2 linked regions of the Drosophila melanogaster genome follow. The gene in region 1 interacts genetically with each later gene. Each region holds a gene or a part of one and is shown on either strand. Other genes may lie near its edges.

Region 1 (3,044 bases):
CAGATGATGGAGGAGGAGGCAGCAGCCACTACGCCCCCGAGGGATCTTAGCTCGGTAGCCGACTATGCGGAGCTCTTCAAGACCTTGGAAGAGTACCCGGCCAACCTGCAGAAAATGCCCAAGAAGCGGGAGCTACAACGTACCAACTCAACGCTCCTGCGAGGAGCAGACGAGTCGGTGGCCATGGGCATCAACACATCCAACGTTTCGCTGAGTCTGACGCGTCTGGAGGAGCAGCGCAGTGCCGTGGACGTGTACAATGATTTTAAGGGTTTCCAGCGAAAGCTGGCCAAGATCTACGACGAGGCAGCCGCTCTGGACACCACAGAATCCATATACAAGCAGAAGCTGACGCAGCTCCATGGATTTGCGCAGCAGCTGGAAAAGCTCATGCCAACCGGCGGTGAGTCTCCGCCAGATGCTTTTACATCCGAGCAGCAGGAGAAGCTTCTGACCATAGCCGCCAATATGGAACAGCTCAACTACCTGCGCTCCAACAGCCTCCAGCTGCCCAATCCCAATGAGATACTCGCCACCGGGAGTCTTGCCGCTCGCCTGGAGATGTTCGTAGAGGTGCTTACCTATACGCTTCTCCAAGTCAGCAGCTACAATATGGCCATGATTTGAAAACCTCGCTTAAAGAGCTTTAAATACAAATCAAATGTTTAATTTATTTAAATTATTTTTCAACTATAACATAATAATAAATTCTAAAAATGGATGAGCTAGGGGGAATCCTCGCTGGCATACTGCTCTTCCTGTGAGTTCTTCATCTGGCCCACGGTGTCGTAGAGCGCCACCAGCTTACGCACGGAGCTGCCAAGGTGCTCCACGCGATGCCTGTAGGCCAGGCAGCCCTCCAGAGCGCTGTATGTCTCCTCCCGCTGGTCACTGCTAGACATGAGCAGCTTGAAGTTCTCCAGGATCTTGGACAGGGTCATCTCAGCCTCCGGCCTGAGGTTGTACATCTTCTGGGTCTCCGACAAAGCCACATTCTGACTGAATGCCTTGCTGTTGGACTCGATGTGGAGCAATGTGTTGTTCGACCGCTCCATTATCTCGTCTATCTTAGCCAGCTGGCGGTTCATGGTCTGCCGATTGGCCGCTGAAATTGGAAGCACGGAATAGAACGCGTGTCGGTGGTTTAAAGATATATTTACCCATTCCCGCCAACATTTTGTCCACAGCGTCTGACATTTCGAATATTCTGTTTGTAATGCTAGCAGATTAACGTGACCGTCGCTGCGTATCTAAAATACACAAGGCTTTCTAAAACAATCGAAAGACCAACGTTTCTATCGAAATTTAAATTTAACCGCCAGTACTAAATGACTCGTTTATTTATTTGGATAGTTAATTTATTAGCTGCTATTCCGCAGTTAATTATAGCCCTCGTGTACAATTGCTGACTACAAGTTAATTTAACGTTTGGTTTATTCAGTTGATCAAATTGTATTTGACTTGTTTTCTATTTAAATTTAAGTGTAATCCGTTCAATGGCTTGCATTACAATTACAATTTACTCGTACACATCCTCCTTGTCGGCGACGTACTTAATAATGTCGGCAGGTTTAAGCAGCTTCTCGGCATCAGAGTCGGGGATCTCGAAACCGAACTCGTCCTCCATGGCCATGATGACCTCCACGTGGTCCAAGGAATCCAGTCCCAAGTCGTTGATGAAGTGCGACTCAACGTTGAGCTGTAAATGCGAGCCATTAGCATTGGGTATTCAAAGGTTTCATCAGCTTTGTTCAGTTCTGATTTCTGAGGCGACCATTGCACTGGCAAAGGCAATATGTGGCGTTTACCTTGCTGGGATCGATCTTGTCGTAGAGCTTGAGCACAAGCAAGACGCGCTCATTGATCAGCTTCAGCGAGAGCGGCGGTTTCGCCGAGTATCTGCGCACCAATTGCGTTTGCCAGCGACCACGGCACTCCTGGTTTTTGGCCGGCCCGAGAAAAAAAGGAAGGAAACAAAGACCGGATTAGTGGCGCCATGCAATGGGTACTTTACCTTTTCGGCGGTCACTTTGTCGTAGGCGGAGACAACCTTTAGCACGCGGAACTTGATGTCCTCGATGGTGCTCTTGGCCGAGTAGCTGCGCACACCGAACTTCTGCGAATGTTAATGTCTAGTGAATTTTCGTCTCTATATGAATAATTGCATTGGTAGTTCATCTACGACTTATGGTGCATACAACTTAGCTAATTCTTCAATGAGCAGTGTAAATATATACGCAATTTAAACGAGGGTGGTTCGATGGTGTATGATCAACTGATTAAATACCGCGAAAACTATTGCTTGGATTGGCGTGGAAACATATTTAGATATTTAACAAACTGAAATCACATGTTTTAAAACCGCTACATTTTAAGGTCACTTCTAGAGGATTTTCACTGTAGTACAATCAACCGCACACAAGTGCGAGCACCGGTGTTGCAGGTGTATGTGTGTGTGTGTGCGATAGGGAAACAATCATGTTTTATGCAAAATAATGTGATGCAATCGAATTGGGTGGTTCGACGGCCACATGGCGAGGATCTTCTGTTGCGTTCATGATTGCAAGCACTTAATTGAATGTTTTGAAACTCGTAGATCACGAAACCCCGCCGTTTGCGATGAGGTTAGGTCCTCAACTGCGATTGGGGCTCCTGCAACGGAAGGGACCGCTTTGGACGTTCGCTTACTTGGCTCAACTGGCTGGTCATCGATGGCACGGCGATCCTGTGCATCATCCTGGAGGCCTGTGATTGGATGAGAATGCCGGAGGCGACCCTCCTTGGGGCCAAAGTGGCCGCCAGTCGACTGCAGCTGCGCGCGATCTGTGTGAACGACATCTCGGTTCTCCTGCAACGGAAACGCAGCGGGTTAGTATCGCATCTCTGCAGACGGTGCACGAGTGCAGGTCTCGTATTTTGGGCGATATTTACGCTGAGTTTTCAAGATTATGTAAAAGTGCTGGAGCAAGAAAAAGACAGCAAGGTAGCAGTGTGACCGTATGCGCAATGTACTAAGCTGTTTCTCAACTTACGCAAATAAATAC
Region 2 (5,255 bases), on another chromosome or scaffold:
CAACTGAACTCGCTCGAATTCGGTCAACTTGTCGGCATTATCCTGTGCTGTGCTGCTGACCTGCTGCAACGTTTGCCGTGCCTCGGATATATCCCTCACCAGCTGATTATTCCTCTCCTGGAGGTCGCTGGCTTCGCTGCGCTCCAAGCGCAGCTGTTGCCGTAAAATGTCTTCGCTCTGGGCGATTTCCGCATTGCGAAGTATTGCAGTCATTTTCTCCTCTCGTTCGATTTCCAGTTGCATTATGGTTTCGTCCAGCTGCTCCTGCTTTTCAGTCACCTGAACCCGTAGCTTTTGGGCCACCTGCTCGGCATTCGAGGAGTACTCGCTGAACCTGTCATCCGCTGCCGTGAGACGAGTCTTGAGATCTTTTACCTCTGTTTCCAAATTTTGCTGAGAACATTCGGTTTATTGGTTTACAAAATCTCCATCAATCAGTTTTGGATATTGAGGGTAAACATATATATGCGTGCATTATTGAAGGAAAAAGTTTACCAAAAAGTTTGCCAACGATTAAATCAGTTTAATACGAAAAGGAAAACATTTACAATCAAAAACTACATAATAGGTGTGGTTGGAAAATTCCAAGTAAACCAGGAGCTTAATTGGTAGAGTTAGTACTGCATTGTTGGTTAAATTAGTGTTACAAGTCCCAATGGAAATCGTCAGAATCGGGAGGCATACTCACAGATTTATTGCGCTCAAAGAGGACTTGCTGCTCGTTCTCCTCTCGGCACTCTTTCAGGGCCACACTAAGTTCATCGATTTCCTCCTCCAGCAGCTTGACCTGCAATTAAAGTGCATAAGTATTGGCACATAGGTATTACTATCTAACCTACCTTATCGTCCCGCTGCTTTATTTCATCTTTGGCTTTTTCGAGTTCGAATGATACCTGCTTGCGGCTTTCAATGGCATCGTCGCGGGATTTAAGGGCCTTTCGCTTTTCGGTGGTCTCTTCGGCCACTTGCTTGGATAGACGACTAACTTGGGTTTCCAGCGCCAGATTCTGGCCACTCCACGAGCCTTTGATGTCCGACAACTGCAGATGGGCCTCCTCTAAGTGCTGTTCCAGCAGTTTATGTTCCCGGATAAGGGCTTGCACTTGTTGCTCGGAGTTCAGTTTGCCCAGAGACTCGAGTCGCGACTCCTCGACGATTTTCATGCGCTTTTTGAGGTGCCGGTTCTCCTCCTGTACAGCCGCCAGTGTTGTGGTCAGCAGATTCTTCTCCTGCTGTGTAGAATGTCGCAGTTGCTCTAGTTCGTCGCGTAAATCTTCGGCCACGGATTCAATGGGACGCAGACGTTCTAGTTCCTCGCTCAAGGACTCGATTTGCTGGGTCTGCTGGCGCATGAGACCCATGCGATCCACCGACTCCTGCTCCCGAAAGCTAAGCAGATTCTTCAGCTTGTCAATCTCGATTTGCTGTAGATTCTGAATCTTCTCCTGCTCCTCGCAGTATATGTCCTTCTGCGTCTGGGCCACACGCACACTCTCTAGCAGAATCTCGTTGGTCTTGTCCACGCGCGTCTTCTCCTCCTGCAGCTGCTGCAATCCCTGCGTGACGGTGGACAGCTTCGTGGTGAGCTCGTTGCACTGACTTCGCAGCTCGCACAATTGCTCCGACTGCGAAAAGAGTGAAGGTGTTTGTTTATCCGTGTTTTTGTTTAATGTGTAAGTATACACAAATAGACTGTTTTTTTTTCGCTCAGTTTACCTCATTGTAGAATCCGCCACCGCCCACATCATCAGCTGAGTTGGAATTAATGCTAACGCGGCGACTACGTAGCCGGTAATTGTTGTTGTTGTTGCCGGGATAACGTTGATTGGCTGATTGGACCACATCATCGCCAGTTTCCTCCTTGATCTTGTTTTTCAGTGTAGCAAACATTGTTAGGTTTTTCGAGGGGGGAGCTTTTTCTCTGTTGCGCTGCTCTATTTTCTGTATGTGTACTGCCCCCGACTGAAGTTGGCCTGCTTGTGGCTGGGGCTGACGAAAACGTGCCCACAGAGCGTTTATAGCATGGCGTTATATCTGGTGGCCGTAGTGTTCTACTTGCTTATCAGGCGAATGCTAATTTTCGTAAACCGTCGATGTTGTTTACCATCGATAAGAATCGACTTTGCAGTAACGTAAATCGACGAACAGCGTTGCCATACCGCTGTGTTAACTTTTTCCCGTTGTACGGCAGTGCTGCCAGTGCGCATGGCAGCATTTCGATAACTGACGCCAGAAACAGCTGTTCCAGCGCGCTTCATTTTCCAAACAGAAAAAAAGTGTAATTGTTAGCGTCCTTTGTGAAATTGTCAAGTGTTAGAATTATTGTGTGCGAAAGTTAACTATTTGAGGACCTCCCATGGACCAGTCTAAACAGGTTTTGCGGGACTATTGCGGCGACGGCAATGGTACCTGTGCATCGTCCTTGAAGGAAATCACCTTAATTGAGACCGTGACCAGTTTCCTGGAGGAGAATGGCGCCGCCGAAATCGACAGAAGGGTCCTGCGCAAACTAGCCGAGGCACTGTCCAAAAGCATAGACGAGTAAGTCCAAAACACTAGCATAAACAATAGCTTACCAATAAGACTTGTGTGGCAAATCCATCGAAATCCCTGGCAACTGCGAGTGCGCAGCAGATGATCGCCATGTGACATGGTGATCGTGCCCACTGTGATCGGGAACTAACGCTCTCAGCTGGAGCTCTCCCGCATCCGTACTGCTCGGCCCCATAGGGGGAGGCATACTCACAAGCACAGGCGTACAATGGGCGTATTACCCACCCCAAAAAATTCGAAGAGAGGAACAATAATACATCTGCACTGAAAAAAATTTTAAAGCTAAATTTCCATCAATATTTATTTTAAAATGTTTTTTAAAAACATTAAGTGATTTGGATTAATTTACGATTTTAAATGAAATAAGATTTGTAAGGTACTCTTATAAGATGTACTTTTATTTTTAAGATTGTATGCTTCATCACTTTTTCAAATGCTGAATAGAGTCAAAGTTTAATACATTTTTTTATTATAATCTTTAGATTTACTATTACTATTCTGATTCCTAATGAAAATGAAAATTTAAAAGAAAAAGAATTGGGAACACAAATGTAATCCCTTAAGTATACAACAGATATTTCTGTATTCTATTCGTAGCCAATGAACTGAGTTTGCTGACCGCTTTCTCGCTGTGTACGGCATTGGGAAATGCGTAACATCTGCTGAGCGCATTTTCCTTTTTCCTCGCAGATGAGCCCGAGTTTTCCGCCCGTTTGCTGCTCTGCCTTTGGTCGCTCTGAATCGGTCGCATCGCAGTTTCAGTCAGTTATGTTCTAGCTTTCGGTTTATTTGGACGTGCAGAGAGCGTTTTTCGGTTTATTTTGCTTGCCTCTCGGCTATCAATCGTGCCATATGTACATACATACATATCTATATACTCACTTACCCATATATACATACATATATGTAAATAGAAACAATCAGCGGGTCAAGCGTTGTGCGGGTGTGTGAGTGATTGATTGTACATACATATCTGTACATAAGTGCAATTGTTTATATTGCACTGCGAGATACAAAAAGTGATAGATTGATTTGTAATTTATTGCATTCGTTGCTGTGGATAAGCGATTAGTGGGATGCTGGTGGTTCTCGGATGAAAAACAAAAAACCAAATCGAAATACACAGATATATAAAGTACAAAGTGTGCTCGGATTTACAATAAATGTAATATATACTTAGAAATACTAAAGATATCTGTGCTTGTGCCCCCTGATGCTGCTGCTGCTGCTGTTGTTGTTGTTGTTCGTTTGTCGTTTTTGTCGCCACGATGCTGCGGCTAATTTTAGTCGGAGAAAAAGTATACGAATTAATTTGTTTGTGAAATAGAGCATTCCATGGCTCAATCGACAGCCGCAACAACCTATATCATTATCTGCGTTTTCGCACTTCCTGGAACTCTGAATTTCGTCACAAGTCGTCTTATCAGACTGCAGTTTCGTCGTATGCTCCATGTGTGTGTGTGTGGGTTAGTTAGTTATATACACATGTGCATTCATCAGGGGTCATGGACTCGTGGAATTAACCCCTATGGGGTAAAAACCGAACAGAGCACCTCTTTTGTTGCCCTTCCAAAACTGCAACGCTGACTTCCCTACCCTCGAAAAACAAAGCATCCTGGTTGGTAAAGTACAGTATCGTTTGTATGATATGTAATTTGAGGGATCATAAGTAGAATTTATCATGCAAATGGCTCATTTAGTTTTGTTTTTATCGCATTCATTTAAATTTAAATAAGGAATTAAAAAAAAACACACTTTAGTCATAATTTAATTGAGTAATGTTATATTTTATTTCTTATTCAATTGAAATTTCCTTTCTAATTTTGAACAATAAACATCTTGCATATTTTATGAATGTTTTGATTCGATTTATGAATATGAGTGACATTTGACATCCTGTTCAAAAGCCTTCAAGATTCAGTGCGTCCTTCGTCATATGGTTATTGTCTTAAGATGCTTTCCTCGCATATCACTCGCTATAGTCTCGATCCACTTCTGTTTATTGTTATTGTATTTCTTTGTTGATTAAGGCAGGCGCCTTTGTGTGTCGTTGGCCATAGTTTGACACCCACTCGAGGCGCGCCAGGCAGCCAGGTAGATGAGTCGCGTCTGCGTTCCAGGTGAGGTGAGAATGGGCTGTTAACTGCAGTTTACCTGTCGATGTGAGGGCCCTAAAATGCATTCGCGGCAAAGTTCAGGTGCTAAACGAAGAGACACATGTTCCGGCACGGTTCAAAATGCACACCTGTTGTTCCCAGTGACCAGGTCGCTCAGCTGTCGGCTTAAACCATTGATTTTCATTACCACCATAGTAACCAGCGATAGCCGAATGCCAAAACAAAACAATGAGTGAAAATGTTTGGCAGAATTTTCTTGTCCCGTTCACAAATTGCTGTTTCTAATGCGGTCGCCGTTTTGCTGTTTGCTCAATTCCCAAAATAAATAACGACCAGAGGCGGTGCGTGGTGCAGTGTATGTGGTGGTTAGTATCTTCAACGATGCGGTGGCCCACATGTGCCGTCGTCCAACCCCCCGTCCTGTTGGGGATGCATCCCGTCCGTAGGAGCGCCAGACTCTTTGAAGACTCTTCTTCCGCTCTACGGCTGAATGCTCCTGATTGCTGCTGCGCACGTCGCATCGCCCAGCAGCCCATGACTCATGGCTGCCCGTCCCTTCGAAGACGACATGGCGGATACGTAACG

Evidence for each region.
Region 2: of msd1 (region 1) and cnn, changing one enhances a phenotype caused by changing the other (phenotypic enhancement), as found in Drosophila melanogaster (one study listed by BioGRID).

The regions. Positions count from the first base shown.
Region 1 is NT_037436.4:1,329,935-1,332,978, reverse strand, and holds msd1 (mitotic spindle density 1), read right to left. Parts: upstream 1,236-3,044; 5' UTR 1,198-1,235; coding exon 1,161-1,197; intron 1,106-1,160; coding exon 726-1,105; 3' UTR 653-725; downstream 1-652. Other genes in the region: msd5 (mitotic spindle density 5), read left to right, coding at 1-627; ND-ACP (NADH dehydrogenase (ubiquinone) acyl carrier protein), read right to left, coding at 1,520-1,699, 1,809-1,937, 2,030-2,116, 2,689-2,838. UniProt on the Drosophila melanogaster protein: As part of the augmin complex, plays a role in centrosome-independent generation of spindle microtubules.
Region 2 is NT_033778.4:13,447,460-13,452,714, reverse strand, and holds the start of cnn (centrosomin), read left to right. Parts: upstream 1-2,239; 5' UTR 2,240-2,356; coding exon 2,357-2,541; intron 2,542-3,314; exon of another isoform or gene 3,315-3,718; intron 3,719-5,255. Other genes in the region: Golgin97 (golgin 97), read right to left, coding at 1-393, 689-787, 840-1,625, 1,717-1,890. UniProt on the Drosophila melanogaster protein: Core component of the centrosome throughout spermatogenesis. May participate in mitotic spindle assembly and the mechanics of morphogenesis through an interaction with microtubules, either directly or indirectly. Is a target of several homeotic genes.